Drosophila melanogaster: one gene and its partners. Changing the gene in region 2 together with the main gene of any one other region gives a genetic interaction. Each region holds a gene or a part of one and is shown on either strand. Other genes may lie near its edges.

Region 1 (3,600 bases), about 17 Mb from region 2:
ATTGGAATTAGGGTCTAGTGCTACACGCTCGTTGGTTCAATGTTCCTGCAAGCTCGATTTCATATTCATTGCCACGTACGTTTCAGCTTACCGTGCACTGCCACGCCAGCCGGCTAAGTGCGTTGCGCAACTAGGTGAAATGTGCGTTGTTGTAGGTGTATAGCTCCGTGTCTGTACCAGGCTCCGTTCCTAGGTTTATGCTTTCCTGAGGCCTAGCAAGTAGGAGGCGGCGTAAATAAACAAATGTAAGAAATCTAATTTGTAGCCGGTAAGAAGATCAGCTGTGCGGCACAGAGTTGCCAGTCGCTGGGAAGGAAAAAATGAACATGTTAAATAATGTCGAAAGTGGTTTGCAACTTGGCTAAGGGCCAAGCAATAAGTGATGTGGATAGGAAATTGGGTGGTTGGTGGTGGGAAACTTGGATTTGGTCATATCTTACATCTTACATCTTACATCTTACATCTTACATATCGACGCCATCTAGTGCAGATTGGCTTCACCATTAGAAAAAGTATATAAACTCTTGAATCCATCGAGGAAAACAAATTTGAATTAAGTTTAGTGGTTTATAAAAACTCGTGCATAGGACAGCCTTTTGAAGACGGTGACCTGTGCGAAATTCCCTTGGGAGTTTCCACCTAGCGGTGTGCATGTAAACTAACTAACAAGCACTCCGCCAGACACTCTTGGTTCGCCCGCGGAACCAGTTCTCCCTAGTCACTTCTGTCCTGCTTGTTCCGCTAATACCACTACCACTGGAAGCACTGGTACCATAGTGCAGCCCGGACAGCCAAAAACATTGTCACCCCCGCGGAAAGCGGAAGGCCAGTTGCTCGATTCGCCCTTAATATCGATCCCGGGCACGCGCTCTGCATTCTGCGCCCGAGTTCGACTTTCGCAGTTCGCACTTTCGGACGTGGACTCGCAGGATTGCAGGCAACGAGACCACTCGCAGTCGTTTGTGAGCGTTCGCAGCGCCAGGTATAGCGTACAGCCAGGGCTCCAAAAACTCAGCGCTTTAGGGGCTTCTTCGGGCCACCCCATCTGACCACTCCCCGACAGCTTGGGAAGGCCAGGGGCTGCTGGCCAGTGGCTCTTGTCGTTCTCCCGCTCGGGCGGAGAGGTGGTGGCCGAGGAGCCACAAGCACAAAACCAGAGACACACATTGAGAGACCGTCAAATTTAACCAAAACAAGCTCAATACTTTTTTTTGCTGTTCAAGTGCTAAATAGTGCTAAAAAAGAAACCCAACAACAAAAACCATAGAGAAACATCCAAAACAAAGTGATACAAGTTCGGAAAGAAAAAGCGAAGCCGATGCCAATAGTGGATTTGTGATGCCAACTTAGCTGGGGGACAATAAGCAGCGCACCTGCGCAGAATCAGTGAGAAAGGGGTTGGGAAAGTGCGCAGAAGCCCGACGGATACGTTCCAAGAGTGCGGGAAGGGGTTAGCGAGTGGGTGGATTTGCGTGGGAACTGCCAAGACAGGAGACAGGAGACATGGACAAGTGACATGGGACGTGGAACCCGACGACTGCAGCTGACAACTTTTCCAGGCGCAGAACGGCGGCCATAGTGCCACTCATATTTTCCGTTTCGGGGAAGTACAATCTCAGGACCCCGAGAACCAGCGAGTGGGTATGACAGGACAGATAGCAGCGAGTACTCTCGTAGCTTTGCCTTATTTTTCTTTTCTTCCTTTTCCTTCAATTCCCTTATCCGCCCCCGCCCATCACGGACTCTCTCCTACTACGTTCCACAATCGAATACTACGGCCACTCACATACAAGCCACACGCACAGAGTTTTCCGAGTTGACATTTTCCGTGCATAGGTTTCTGGGCATCGGCGAAAGGAAAAGCGCTGCGCTGTGGGCAGCTAACTTGGGCACCGCAAATCGAACGAAATCGGAGTACGAACCTTAGAGCGCAGAAATCAGAAAACAGAAATCATAACCCAGAACCCAGAAAGTTAAAGGCTGAAACGAAAGGCCACAATTCCGAATCGCTTGCTAATGAAATTTTTTTGTGTTTTCGATTTCTTGCTGCTGCTACCGTCGTCCGCCTGTGCAGCAAAGTGTTAAACGAATAGCCAACAAAGCAAATACAATTAACCAGAACTGGAAGCACGTCAGTCCAGCCGCAGAAGCAGCTAAGTTCAGACCAAACTCGGAGATTCCCAGCCAGGAGATAGGACCAGGAGCCAACCAGACGAGGAGCAAAGAAGCAGAAAAGAGTGCGAACAATGTGCGCCGCGCTGCGTCGTAATTTGTTGCTGAGGAGCCTCTGGGTCGTCCTGGCCATTGGCACTGCTCAGGTTCAGGTGAGTCACCGAATCCCCACCACACCACACTACACCACACCACACGACATAACAACACACCACACTACAGCACACCACAACACACCACAGCACACCAGACCATTTCACTCCACTTTCGATACAATACTCGATGGAACGAAGGAGTAAGTCGAAAGAGCCGAAACTCAGAACAGAAACACAAACCGAAAATGAAACTGACAGAGAACACTGGGAAACTGGGCAAAACTGCACACTAAAACATTGTTTCGTTAGGGCTTTAATCGGGATGACAAATTGATTTAAACAGACAACTCGACGCTCGATGTTAGCCACGCATTGAAGCTGATAGAAGTCAAAACAATATTAATTCGGTGTCCGGGGAAGACAAGTAGGTCTCCAGCAATTAGGGACTTGTGTTGTTGCGCTACTGCCTCATCTGGCTTACTGACACAACACCCAACTTATGTATAACTTGAGTACGGCTCACAAAATAGCAGTGTGGCTCTATACTTTCTGCGTGCAACAGCAATACCAATCGCAACCGCAACCCACACACACAGGCACCCACACTCTCGCACACACACAGAGAGCCAGATACACAAGCACACAAGCACTTGAGCGGGTTTCTGTGGGATGTGGTGGCCGTCGGCTAAGCAGCCGCGCAAAGTATGCTACGAAAAATGTGCCATCGCTTAGCAGCGGCACTAAAGGCTCGAGGGCTTGAAGGCGGGAAAGGGTTGGGGATTGGGGATTGGGGATTGGGGATTGGAGATTGGGGATGGGTATGGGATGGGGATGGGATGGGGATGGGTGATAGGGCTGCCAAATTACTTGCGAGTGTGCGCAAGTATTGGCTTAATTGAACCGTTTGCTTGTCGCTGGCTACTGGCCAACTGAAAGCCGAAAACCGAAAACTTGAGGCTAGAGGATAGCAGCAGCTGGCTTCGACTAGCAATTTGCATATAAAAGTAGCGGAGGTGTTACCGAAACCAAACAGGGCGTGCAGACATTTTGATTTTGATTTTCTACACGCAGCGACTGGCAAATATCGTAGAAATGGAGTGCGGGGCCGGGTTATGCGTCCTTCGGTTGGGGTTTAAGTCCGGCTAAAAACTATCCGGCTCTGTCTGAGCATAATCCCCAAATTGGTCTGGGGCTGGACCTGCATTCACCACGAATCCTCTTGTTCAGGTCAATTCATCGACTGGCATACGTGCACGCACACACCTACCGACAAACCAAAAGGGAAGACATGCGTTACTAGGATATTGTTAGCTTTAGCTAAAGTGTTTTTAAA
Region 2 (6,960 bases):
CTATAATTGTTTGTGCATAGTCAGATCTGCGATGTGCCCAGATCATCGACGAGGCCCCCAAAAACCGATCAAATAGAATGGCAAACCAAAATAATTAAAAAGTGATTAAATAAGTTAACACCAAATGCAAATGATCTGCAAATGGCAAACAAACGAGCAGACGAGCCACAGACAACGCTTCCAGGTCGTGTGCCACCTTACGTTCGTGCAGCAGCAGCAGCGAGTACAGTGAGGCAAAGCTAACAGCGACGCGCGATACGCAACGCGGGATTATCGGCGCCCGAGAGGCCAGGAGCGGCCCACTCGGTGGCCGTCATGCAGCTGCAGGCGGCCGGGGCCCAATTAACCAGCAGCTGCATTTAGCTCACCCATTGAGCACCTAGCAAACACATAGAACACATACAGTCACATACTAGACACGCACACACGCACGTACACGCACACACACGAACACATACAGATCCAATTAATTGGCAAGGATTCAGTGAGCTCAACGAAGCAGACCAGAACTAGAAAACCGAAACAGAAAGCCAAACCGAAACTGTTACAGAAACTGAAACTGAGACCATGCAGATGATACTTGTTGCTGGCGGGTAAGTGAAAAGACAAGTCCCAACAGCCCACAATCCACCCCCCACCACCACCTTCCGACTATCCTATCCAAATCCAAATGCAAATTCAAATCCAAATCCAAATCCAAAGCCAATCCAGAATACGCAACCCTCGATGTGATATATGTGCCTCTGTGTGTGTGTACTACTCGGAACTACTCGTACTAACTTAACTGCAAAATCTGAATTGTGTATGTAACCCATGTGTTTACCTAGCCGGAATAAAAGTTGCCAAAATCATATTCTTTGTATCTATCTTTAGCCGTAAGCCTTGACTTGATCGGTCAGTTCTATATGCCAAATCATTCTGTATAATCATGCATTAATAGTACTCTAAATGCTTATTGTTTCGCCTTATTTGCCATTCGCACTCGTTGCCGCCAAATGCCTTTGCTTGGCACATGTATCTAGAATCTATAGATAATGATAACTCGTAACTTGTACTGTGTATTGTGATCATATGCTGATACATATACATTTAACAATCTGTCTAATCGCTGTTTTTCTTTGTTTCCTATTTGCAATACTCCACGATACCCACGATGACCGAACTCGATATGAACTAATACCATCAACTTCCAGGTAAGTCACAAAATACAATTATCTAAATTGGAAGATTGTGTGGGCTTAATTCTATAAGGATTTTATGGAAGATAATCTAAAATCTTAAACTATTATTGGTAAAACATTAAAACAAGTGTATATATTTCTCTGCAAGCATTAAGTCATTAAATAGCAAATGAAAACATGAGGTGAAATGTCATTTAACATTAAAAATCTAATTTTCTGAACTGAAGAATTATAAGTACTGCAGCGACTCTTAGAAGATTGCTCAAAGAGGCTAAAGTATCCAAAATGTTGACAATAAATCCCAATCATTCAAAACCTATAGAGTTTAAGAAACTAGTAAGTGCAACTGTTAGAACTAAATGAGCTTTTATTTTTAAACCCAAAAGACGTTCTTATTTTAGTTTATTAGAAAGATTATAACATTTTCTGGATAACTTCGTCTCATTAAAAAAAAATATTTCAATAATATTAGCTTTTCTCCCTTCAATAAATTGTAAAATGCTATTTGGTAAAAACTATTAAATTATAGTTAAAATTTCACAAACGGTTGTATTTTACAACCTAACCAACTTATTCTCCAAATGCTTTTGTGTGGCTATAAAAGGTTTGCGTTCCGATAAATTTTCGTCCAATAATTTTTCAACGCAAAACCTGCATTAGCAAGGACACCAAAGCTTAAAGCTTTTCTGATTTTTTGAAAATTGAAGAGCTTAAAAGCTTGACTAAAACACAATTTCTGATTTGAAGAAAACTTTCTGATAGCTTTTAAGCTGGGAAAACAAATAGCTACGTCAACTTTGTTGAAGCAGAAGCCAGAGCTTTAAGCTGCGCTTTATCCAGCTTTCCGTGGCCCTTTTCTCTCGCTTTCCCTTATGTTTTCCTTTCCGAACTTTCCCATGCTTTGTTTGGGCGCGCGTTTGTGTGCGTGAATGTGCCATGTGTTTATTTATTAATAATTGCATTACTCATACGCCACGCCGTCCCTCGCTGGAAGCATGGCGTTCAAGTGCACACGTGACACTTATATGCGTGTGTCTGTGTATTACTTGGGAGCCTTTACATGGCCATGTGTGTGCGTCCGTATGTGTGTGAGTGTGCAGTTATTCGCATTATTATAATCAAGTGGAGCCAACAAAAGGGAAGCGAAGGAATAGGCTTCGGAAGGGGGGAGCATAACGAGCCCGGCGGCGTTTTAAAGCACACATTAATAATAGAGGAGCACACCTTTGCCACCAAAGGGTGGTGGTGATGCGGTGGCGAGTTGGAGGGCATGGGGTTGTGGCTTTTGTCGTTTCTCCTTCGATTCGATTTTCTCTTGCTCCCGTGTGCATGTGAGTGTTAGTGTATGTTTGTGTTTGGTTCATTTACAGTTTTCACCTAGTTTTCGTGTTTCGGTTGTTTTGCCTTCGGCCGCCGCCTCAGCGGCCCCTAGCGGCATTTGCTTTGTTTGACACCGCCACTCATCCCCGCCGACGGGCCCCCATTTCCAGTCCAGCCAGGAGCTAGAGCTCCATCTCCAGCGGACGGTGCCCGAGTGTCGCCAGAGTCGCCAGTGTCGCCAATGTCCCTGTGCCCATGGTTCCCGCTCTTCTTGCTCAGCCATGTTCACCCAGGCTACTCTTTGGCTTTGTTGTTGCGGCTCTGCTTTGTTGTTGGTTTTCATTTTATTCATTTCGTTTCTTTTTTTTTTTTTGGTTTTGTGTTTTTTGGGCCTCCTCTGGTCGCCGTGTTCGTGCCAAGTGGCACTAAAACTATTTGCCTTTTGCCCAGTTTTCGTATGCCTTTGGCCAGCGGGAACAGGAGCGGTACCTGCCACACAGCACAGTACAGAACATCGCACATCACACATAGCACACACTCGGCACACACAGAACACAGCACGCAACACGCAAGAGGCGCCATCGGAGTCGGAGTGCAGCAGTGGAAAACTCCGTATAGCTTTAGATATATAGCTATACGATCCAGTCCGCTGACAAAGCCGGAGCCAATGCAGCAAAGCAAATCGCACGTGCTCGCCTCGGCCCAAAATGTTCGTGGCGAGTTCGTGGCGCCCAACGTGGGGCGTTCGTGCCACCGCATTTGGCTCGGCTCGTAGTTCGGCGGTTCTTCTATCGCCGGACACTTTTGCAGCGCCTCAGTTCGGTTCAGTCGTCGCAGTCGCAGTCACGTCGTCACAACGTAATCGTGCAACGCGTTCCGCGCTTGGCGGCGACTGTCGTCAGTCAGTCAATCAATCAGTCAGTCAGTCAGTCAGTCCGTCAGTCAGTCGGTCAGTCAGTTAGTCAGCCAGCTAGTCAGTTAGCTAGTCATTCATTCAGTCAGTCAATCAGTCAGTGTGTCAATCTGACAATTGGAGTTTCTATCCAGACTTCAATATTTTTTTACCTCGCTCAAAACCCCCCACTCGCACTTTAAATAATAAAAAAAAGCAGGTGGTGCGTGCCGCGTAGCCGCGCGTGATTCTTGTTGTTGTTTTTTTTTTTTCGGTGAATGTGAGTGTATGGTTCTCTTTTTTTAAATGGTAACTCTTGTTGTTATTGTTATTCCGAGCTTGGTGCGTGCCGCAAAATTCGAAACACAAGGAGAAACTCCATTTAAAAAAGGCGTTTAAAACAGCTTAAGAAGCCATTTAAGCACCCTTCCACGCGCCACAGAAAAGGGATGAGAAGAGAAAAATACACCAGGACATGATCAGAGGCTCCAGGGGAATCCTGGAGTCCCTCCAACTGTATCGCCCTATCTCCGACTGTTTCTGTGTTTGTTTACCTTAATTAATGCACTGGCAAGCGGCAAATGGACCTGGACACTGCCAACATAATTTGCCTAGGGGGCGCCACTCGAATCTACACTGCTGCAGCCTCCGGTGGAATGATGATTCTGATGGTAGTGGTGGTGGTAGGGGATTGTCCACGCCAACTTAGCCCACTGCAGGTCGAGTTAATTAATATTTCACTCTAGTTAAGGGGGAGAAAGTGGAAAATGGTAGGGATTGGTCGGGTGAAGTAGGTTGAAGTAGGGGTAAGAGGCACCAGTGAAGTTTTGCTTATATAAGCAACTTCAATTCCTATTGCCTTGTGCCATTTCCATTCCCATTCCCATTCCCACTCCCATTGCCATTTCCATTTCAGTGCAATTCGAGTGGCCCAAAAGAGCCAGAAGGAGCAAAAGCTGTAGCAGTAGCCTAAAGAGAAACTGGCAAATTGCTCATACGACGCATTGGCGCCGTCAAAAACTGAACGAGCCACAAAAGCGGAATGAGGAGTGGAATGAGCAGCCGAAGCTGAAAGAAAAACAAGTTGACCCAATTTACAATTGTAAATCAAACTTAAAATCACAGCCAAAGTTAAACAAAAATAGAATGGTGGTCAGTAGCAAGAAGGGCAGGCATGTTTAATTTACAATAAGACAGCCTCAAGGATCGAATTCAGAGATCAATTGAATGCCTCGAAATTAAACTGGGCAGTGGCCTTAATATTTGACCACAAATGAAGGCAACGTATAAATTTTGTATGTCAAAAACAAAAACCCAGAAACAGGAACTGCATTGATTGGATTAATGGCTTATGTTTCGTTGCTTCGACCGTTTTCTTTCCATTGTCATAGAGAGCATATATAAATAATAAATACACGGGCTTGCAACACAATTGTGGGTGAAAGCAGGCTTTTCCAGCAATTCGAGCACCTCAGTATGCAGTGAAAACTAAACAGATGAACGCAAACATTGGAGTAATTATGTTGGGGATTTTGAAATGCATTCATTTTGTGGTTTCATCTTTCAGCAGAGATGAGAGGTTTACCATAACTTTGCCATCCGTATTGTTTGGCAAGTCACTTGGATATCTAGGAAAACTTTGGGCCTTCCGCCCTTCGCTTTCCACCAACCACCCAGTTTTCCCATACAAATTAGTTTGGATTTGGATTCTCGCTCTGTTCATTAATTTGTCTAAGAGCAGCTGAGGTTTTTCCCCGTATTACAACTTGAGCACTTGGGCATGTGAGGTTATTATTCAGCCTCGTCTTTGTATTTTTGTTTAAGCTTCTTTTGTTTTCGCTCCTCCTATTGTTTTCCTCTCTATGTTCCCCGCTTTTTTTACGCCTCATGTTCTCATTGTATTTGCGATTAAATTCAAGTTTGACTCGCACACGCCAAAATTAATTGGGCACTTGAAAAGTTGAACAAGTCGATCGAAAGGGGGGCGAATGGTTGCAGGGGCTAGATGTGCCGTGACGGCTCGACAGCTCAGCCTTCTGTTAACCCTTATCCACTCAGTGGAAAGTGGCAAGGGGAAGGAGAATGGGTGGGAAACCCCTTTGTAATGTTCTAGGCAACTGATTTATTTTGATTGAACTTTGCATGCAAGCAGCTGAGGCAACAGGAAGAACTCCTGAGCTTTCGAGCAACAACTGGCAAGTGAAACATCATAAAACAAAGCCAGTTTGTGGTTGAATACGAATACGAGCACAGCCGCAGGCTTGGTCTTGTTGATGGGTTGGGGGGGGGGGTCTGGTTTTATGGGGGGGTTACTACTAGATTGAGGGGATCGGAGGCCATTCGCACGCACATTGCCTGGTTTTTAGGCGGCAAGGCTTAGGCTTAGCTCCAGCTCAATCGTAAATGCGTCGAGTGTGGTTCGTTCTTCTCCGCACTCTTAACCCCTTTGTGCCAAAGCTGCTCGCCAGTGTGCCAGTGTGTCTGTGTGCGTGTGTGTGTGCAGGCTAAGTGGTTATGGCAACAACAGCGCTAATAAATCCCCTCTGCACACGCCTCTGGTGCTCGCTAAGCTCTCCTAATGCCACTGAGGCAACTCGGCTTTGTCTTTCGAGTTGAATTTGCCCAGTATATGGCGCATATATCGAGTGCCTTTAAAGTGGTCGTCTGTCTTCGCAAAAACATCAGCAGCTTCCCTGATTGAATGGTGGCGAATTTTTATTCTTGCCACAACTCGATATATCTGCCAACTGTTTTGCTCCATTTTGTCTTTCCTGCCACGCTTGGCCATTTAGTTTTGGCCCAATTGCTAACTTACATATGTATATATTTATGCGCATATGTTTGCGGTCGGGCATGAACACACACACTACAAGAAAATTTGGCCACCAAAAATATGCACAGAGTCGTATTTTATATATGCTATATACTTGGTGACTTTATGCCTCATATATATATATATATGTATGTAGTATATGTCTTCCGCAACTATAAAACATTTAATGTTGCAGTGAGACTTTCTGATTTCCTTTACAAAGTTTTTAAAACTACTTTAGGGGCTTATAGAAAAAAAAATGGCAAATACTTGCTTTAGTATGCACGTTGATTTTATTTTACTAAAATGTAACGAAATGTTCCAATTAAATGAGCCTTTAGATAGTTGACCTTTGGCAATCCCGAACTTAAAATTGCCAGGGCTTTGGGTGATTTGTGTTAACCTGAATTAGTTCTCAGTGTGCCATCTATCTATGGATATTGTAAATTATTCGCCTGGATCCGGAATCTCTTGCCAGTGGATTTTGGTACTCCGGCCAGAGGCTGTGCAGCTCGGCTCCGAGAAATGTGAAATGTGAATTTCGAATGGCAAATGGCAAATGGGGAATGTAGGAAGTAGAACGGAGAACGGAGAAAGGAGAAAGGAGCACAGAGAACGGAGAAAGTTACGCACTGCGGCGATGGTTTTTGGGCTTTTAATATGCTGTCGAGAGGTGGAAATATGTGTGTGTATGTATGGATACACGGCTGTGTGTGCGTGTAGATTGCACGTGCGCTGCGTGATTTTAATTTGAA
Region 3 (6,960 bases), on a different chromosome or scaffold from region 2:
AGCTTGGCGCCCAGCTTGTCCCGGTTGTCCGAGTGCGTAATGGCCGAGCACTCTGGAATGGTCTTGGTGTTCTCGCTCTGCACCCACTCGCCGATCCACTCGTTCGAGTTGGCATCACGCGCCTGCAGGAAGAATCCCCGGAAGACGGTGCTCTGGTCCGAGTGCGGGTAGATGACCACCGATATCTGCTGGCCGGGATGGTAGGTCTGCGCATCGGCCACCACCTCGTACGGATTCGAGTGAGCCGGCTGACTCCGGGCCTTGCCATGATTCGGCTGATTCGCCCGCTGCTTCACGCACGTGTCCGCCGGAGCGCCGTCCGGAAAGGCGACTGCGGCGCCTATCAGCAGGAGCAGCTCCAGCGACAACCACTTGAATCGATCCTTCATGGCTCTGGAATTCGATTTTCCTGATCGTGGGAAAAAACGCGCGCGCTCTCGGCTAATCTGACGCTGAAACTCGGCTCGCCGCCGCCATCGCCGGCCGCTTATAAACCCAAGCGGCAATGCCACAAGCGACGCTGCCGCCGAAGACATGGGCGGGCGGTTCAAGTGGACAGATAGCCACAGTCGGGGGTGTTTGAATAGGAGCGTTTAGCTATCCAAGAAAGCCAGCTATTGGAGAAGTCAGTGCGCTAAATCATCTTTTTCTTGACTACGATAAAACTTTTTCTAAAAAGTTATTTGTACTGTTTAAAAAAATATTCAAAAATATGCAAAAATATAAACGAATATTCCACGCTTTTCTTCCAGAACTCTTTGCTGTTGATCAACTGTTATGATAAATAGTAATTAATAGCCTTTGATAACTTTATTTACTAAACAATTGCACTAAGACCCAACCGTAAATCATTACTATTATTTTATTTGGTTTTTAATTCTTAAAAGAACTAACACGGAATGATGTGTCAAGAATAAATCATTGACAGATGCCAGCTGCCATCCCAATAGATTTTCTTTGACTAATTTATGGCCGCAGCGGTGCTATTAAGCTGACCGCAAATGTAGTGGGGCGCTCAGCTGGCGGCGGCCAACCAGTTTTTAATGATCAAAAAGCAAATGGCCAAAACACACAGAGTTCCTTTCCTGCACAGTGATCCAAACTGGGTCACACATTAGTCCCTCCCCTGGTCGACGAATCGGATTTCTTTGCTCGGTTTGGTGGTCTGGGCCCGAAACTCTGGTGCTGCTCTAAGTGCTCCATTGCGAAATTCTATGCTTCTAATCGCTGAAAATGTTGGAAAATGTTGGAAAATGCTGTCCGCACTGCAACATGTTCCGCAGTTTGTTTACTTTGCGCCTGTTCGCTGCATTTTTCAGCGCGTTTTAATGTTTTAATTGACAGGCAGCCGCCGTTGGCGTTGATTTCGCTGAATTGAGTTGGCTCCGGTTGGGTTTTTCCTTTTTCTGATTTCTCAGTTGTGATTTTTTTCTGGCAGTTCGCTTTTCCCCCTTTGATACCGCTGCGTTTCGCATTTCACAGCTTCAGTCGGCGGTTTCCTTTCTGGGATCCGCCAACGCCATTCCTTCGTGGAATATGGTTTTCCACCACCTCATTTTCACTTTAGTTTTTGGCAAGGGGGATAATTGCAACAGCTGCTGTCAGTTGGAATACAAATGGAATAATTAAGTCAGTTCTTTAACTTTAAGCATTTGCTTAAATTTTCATTTATAAATTGTTCGGAATGTTTTAAAATAGTGTTTATACTCATTAAGAGAAATAATTATGCGAAATAATTATCAATTAAACTATAACAAATGGCACACAACACAGCTATGTGTTTTATAATTCCTATTTTCGCAGCATATTTTATAGCTAGAATGGTAACTAAATAAAAAATATAAATAAAGTGCCCAATTATTTCTGCTCACTTTAATTATCTTTTTTTTTTTTTTTTGTTATTCACAAGCACTGCAAACAGCATACCGAATGGCACACAAATTCTAATTTAATAAATGCGCAAATGACCAACAACACTTCGGGCCAAAACACACTTTTAAGTGCTAGTGTGTGTATCTACACGCACTCACACTTTGGGCCAAGTCAATACCAAACTTGTTTCATTAATTAAAATGTTCGGTTAATTATTCAAATTGCACGTGCCAGCGTCAGCAACTTTTGCGCACAAAACTAAATTGTTTGCTTTTGGCAATGTGTTTGTGCTGAAACGTGATAAATAATACTCTAGATTGCTGAACTTTACAATTGGACATTGGCGCTTATTTGCATTTCAAGTTGGCCGCACTGCAAAGGTCAGTTAACCCGGTGGCTTTGCTTTAACCGAAGGATCAGCGGGCCGAAAGGACATATCATCCATTATGGATGCGGCGAATGCGAATTTTCAACTCCCTGCACTGGGCAGCAGCATACCGAAATTTTCGGCCATTGAAAATGACATTTGCGCCACATCACACCAGGTCTTGTTACGCTACACAGAGAAAAATATACTAAAAATATTATAGAATTTCATTTTATTATGAATTAATCTATTCATATTTGTTTGATATTTTTGATTTTTTTTATATATAAAATACACTATTTACAAAACTTTAACGCATCAAGTCATGCCATTATCATAGAGTTTAAAAATATAAGTAAGCTAAATATTTTATCAATTAATATCTATATATAATATATATATAATATGCAAGCTGGTAATGTGTTTCTTTCAGTGCATCCATCCTCCGGCCAATGCATGCGAAATTTACTTCAACCTAAAGTACGAAAAAAGTGGGCAAACGAAGGAAAACTGCCAGCCGCCTTAAACCGATGTGCCATGTAAATAGTGGAGCTTGTGGGCTCAGAGGGGGGGATGGAGCGGTGGCCCGAGGAGGGGTCGAAAAATCCACTTCATCGGCGACGGTTGGCGCGGAAAAGTGTGTCACCTGCAGGCGGGAAATGCGCAGGTCCTGTGAGAGGAAAAGCGGCTGCCGCCTGATGGTGACTTTTCCTCGCAGACTTTTCACCAACGCCACATTCGCATTTTCCACCAAGGCTGTGGGAAATTCGGCTCAGAACGTGGTCAGACGTCGAAGCGCGTGGTCGTCGAGTTTTCCGAGAAAATCCAGTGGGAAAGCAAACAGTGCGAGGCAGCAGCAGCAGCAGCAACAACAACTATCTAGAGCAAAGGAAATTGTGAGCAATTTGTATTTTAGTAGTATATTTCTTACGCGCGTGAGTGTGTGTGTGTGTGTGAGTCAGTGAATGAGTGTGTAAGTGTGTGAATGTGGTGATGAACCGAACAGCGTGCAACAAGAATAAAAAACGAATGCCCAAAAGTGCCAAACACAAACAACAACAAAAAAAACGAGATGAAAACAGAATATACATAAATGGCAAGCAAATATTTTTCTTCTTGAGCAGGGCAAAGAAAATCACAAACTGCAGCGTATCCATGCCCTCAAACCAAAAAAAAAAGAAAAACAAAAAAATAAAACGAAGAAAACAGTGAAAAGCAATCAAAGTAATAAACGAAAAGGGGGGAATGGCGAACCGAACTGAAAGCAAATCAAAAAAATCAATGCCCTTTCTGCGGAATTATACGTTGCGTATACGTGATATGTACCGAGGTAGCCAAGTCAAATAATAATAAAGGAAATTCTCACGTGACGCATAAAAAAGCCAAGCTCGCACACACACACAGCGATGGCAACAGTAACACGGCATGCCCCTCAAACATACGCACACAGCGGTAAACTTACTACCTGGGACACAAATTGAAGTTGGCGAAACATATTTGCGCAGCAAAGTTGCTACACGCAGCGAAAACTCGCTGCAGTAGTTTCAAATTGTGGGGGGAAACTGTGATAAACACAATTCATAACCAGAAAAGAGTTGAACTAATCAGAAATCTATAAAAGATCTTAAAGTTATGGCTATTTAAAAGCAATGTGGTGCCTAAAGTTGTGGTAGTGCCTAAAAGTAGGCAATGGAATTTGTCATTCGTGAAATGTGACTTGCTGCGTATGTATATAAGTATGATTTGTGTGAAATATCATCATAGCACTGATGAAATTCAAACATTTTCTCATCTTTTCTTGCAAAAGTGTCCCACTTTTCTCCGCCTGCATTTGGAAGGCACATGATTATGATGAGCTTGCCTCGCAAACTTGTTTCTTTTTTGAGGCTCGTGGCTCGAAAATGACAACAGCTGGATGGCCGAGTGGGTGGGTGGCGGAAGATTGCCTTTTGCCGCATTTGTTGCCGCTATTTTGCATACATTGAATTTAATGAACTGCCTGTGTGCGGTGTGTTGGATTTGCTTTTAATAATTTAGGCTGCGCGCGAACTAAATGGCGCTTTTAAAGTACGAACCGTCAGGCGACCCCAATATGGGCGACAAACGGGCGAGATGAGGCACAAATGAAAATATGAAAAAGGGCAGGGAAAACACGAACCATTTAATGCCCCTTCGCACCCTCGTTGCGCCTGTATGGATACGCTGTGAGCTGGTGTGTGTGTGCAACCCCAAGTCGGAAGGGCAGACATACTAACACACTTCAGCCGGAGGACTACGTCATCCTGGCCCAGAAGCTTTGGGGCCAGCAGCCCCCCCCGACAAAGCCAAGCCAAACCACTGCGAACCGAACCCAACCAAACCAAAGCGAACTTCGCTGGGAGCACAACTTTCCCTCGACGTCGCCACATTTTCGCATTCACAATCACATCGCGTGGCATATCCATAGGCGTAAGGATACGGCATAGGCACATGGTCTGGCCTCCACTCACACCATCACACTCGCCTTGCCACACATATACACACAGAGTTTGGCGAATGTGCACATGCACAGTATAGGTGAAGTTATAAGGACTCGAGTTGCGCTGCTCCTCCTTCGGATCGATTCCGGCTAACACAGACTTTGCGGCAGTTGCCGTTGCAAACACTTGAAGAAAAAGGGTGTAACTGTGATCACGAACAAGTCAGCTGCATTTAAAGAATCTTTCAGACTTGGAAGAAGTTAAAACCCTTGATTAGATTGAGATACATTTGCAAAGCTCAGAAGAAAGTAGTGGATAGTTATCTTCTATCTATTTAAAAACCTTTACTTGGTTACATTTTCCGATATTCTGTTTCTATATCATTCGCTTTAGGATCACCTTTCTTTCAGTGAACTAACTCCAATTGCAGTGGCAGTTACTTCGCTACTAGCTGCACGACAATCTGCATGCGGCATGACATCGCGCAGCCGAAGGATCTCGAGGATATATGTGGCTGGCAGGGGGGCGTTGCCGATGGAGACGTCATCAATTTCCATCCAGCCTATAAATACAACTAAAGTATATATGCCACAATGTGATGCCTTTGCGCCGGCGGCAAGTGTTGCAGTAAATTTCGAGGAGATCCGACTGCCGGCATGACCCTTGACCTTCGACTTGCACCATGTGGCATGCCCGTTTATGCTTCGATTTGCCGCCCTATACGCCATATCCACCCCACAGCCCCACGCCACCGCTCAGGCAAATGCAAAATCATTTGCCATCGAAATCGCATGTCGACCGGCAGAAATAAAACTGAAAAAAAAAGAAGTAGAAAGAGCAGACATGCCGTATAGCAAACCGAAAACCCAACCAGAAATCCTTGTCGCACAGTTTGCGTTTATAATTTATATACGACGTTCCCCGTACGAGGAGGCTTCTCTTGTTTTAGTTGCGCATTCGTCCTTGTCCCGGCCAAGTATCCGTATCCAAGGCGGACTCTCAATCGAAATCCGCATGGAGGAGGCCTTTAAGTGCGCCCGCTGGCATTTGGTGCTCCTCCCGTTTAGGCCGACAAGCTGCCCGCTTTATGGCTATTAAAAAATGCATTTAAATACACACCACGGCCTGCCATTTACCATATAAGCCATATACCATATAATCTTCGATGCGGCCTGCGTCTGTCTCCGGTTTTCGCTTCTCGGGCCTCTTCAGCTCCTCCTCAGCTCGAGTATGAGCTCCTTTGGGGCGTTGTTGAAAATTGAAATTGCGCGCTTATTTATGGAGCTCTGGCGGGGACGCTGGCGTTGATTGCCGTAACGCCCCATTGCCTGGTACATGACTATAATAATGATTGCCATTTTTATAGGCCAGCCAGCGCCGGCGCTGCGAAGATAAATTGTTTGGCTGCTTGGAAAATCGTTTCGCTTCGACATTTGAATCCTTTTGCTCGAAACTATCTGCTTGATTTTCCCCTGGCAAATGGCTGCTGCGGTGGGTCAGCGCATGAATGCCAATGAAGTACAGCGCTAGCCACGGCGTATACTTAATTTTCGGGCAAATACTTCTAGATCTTTCGAGGGCTGACAGCGCTTCCCATAGGCGCGGTTAGCTTAAGTGCACTAATTAATTTTGCTGAGGTGAGGCTGTCCTTTAAGTAGCTTAAGGATAACTAAATGCCGCATCTCTGGGGCTTTCGCTGTGTGTGTGGGTGTGTGTGTGTGTTCACCTCCAGGATAAATAATAAAATTGCCAGCGGTCGACTGGCCCCGTTTCGCTGATGACACAGAACCGAGGAGTCGAGTGGCCCGGAGTCGAAAAGTCGACCTCTGACACCCTCATTATCCTACATGTGTACAGCCACATAGTCCTTTATATGTGCGGCAGCACGTGTGGAATATTAAGCAAACTGTGCAAACAGTCGTTGTCACATTAACCATGTCATGGCAAGTGCATATGCCACTCTATCACCCCCGACACTTGGCTCAGCGATTGTGGAGCCGTGCACTGGGAGAAATTATAATGGCATACTTCATATAAATAGCGATATTGCTATAATATCTGCATTCAAACAAATAACTAACTAACTGTCTCCTTCAAAGTTAGATGTAACATTACTCGCCAGAGCTATGATATTAGGTTGTTCATAGCAATTATTTCTCTGAGTGTATGCCACCTTTTAGACCATGTTCTATTTATAGTACACAAGCGGCACATATTTTATTTTTCGTGCGTGATCAATGGAGTGCGCGTTGCAGGCATTAT

Evidence for each region.
Region 1: of Sh (region 2) and Appl, changing one suppresses a phenotype caused by changing the other (phenotypic suppression), as found in Drosophila melanogaster (one study listed by BioGRID).
Region 3: of Sh (region 2) and jus, changing one suppresses a phenotype caused by changing the other (phenotypic suppression), as found in Drosophila melanogaster (one study listed by BioGRID).

The regions. Positions count from the first base shown.
Region 1 is NC_004354.4:529,553-533,152, forward strand, and holds the start of Appl (beta amyloid protein precursor-like), read left to right. Parts: upstream 1-1,617; 5' UTR 1,618-1,637; intron 1,638-2,074; 5' UTR 2,075-2,246; coding exon 2,247-2,324; intron 2,325-3,600. UniProt on the Drosophila melanogaster protein: During development, plays a role in the regulation of the neddylation pathway. Appl and APP-BP1 interact antagonistically during development.
Region 2 is NC_004354.4:17,987,047-17,994,006, reverse strand, and holds the start of Sh (shaker), read left to right. Parts: upstream 1-3,327; 5' UTR 3,328-3,673; intron 3,674-6,960.
Region 3 is NT_033777.3:29,191,063-29,198,022, reverse strand, and holds the start of jus (julius seizure), read left to right. Parts: upstream 1-3,029; 5' UTR 3,030-3,135; intron 3,136-6,960. Other genes in the region: CG14515 (uncharacterized protein), read right to left, coding at 1-389.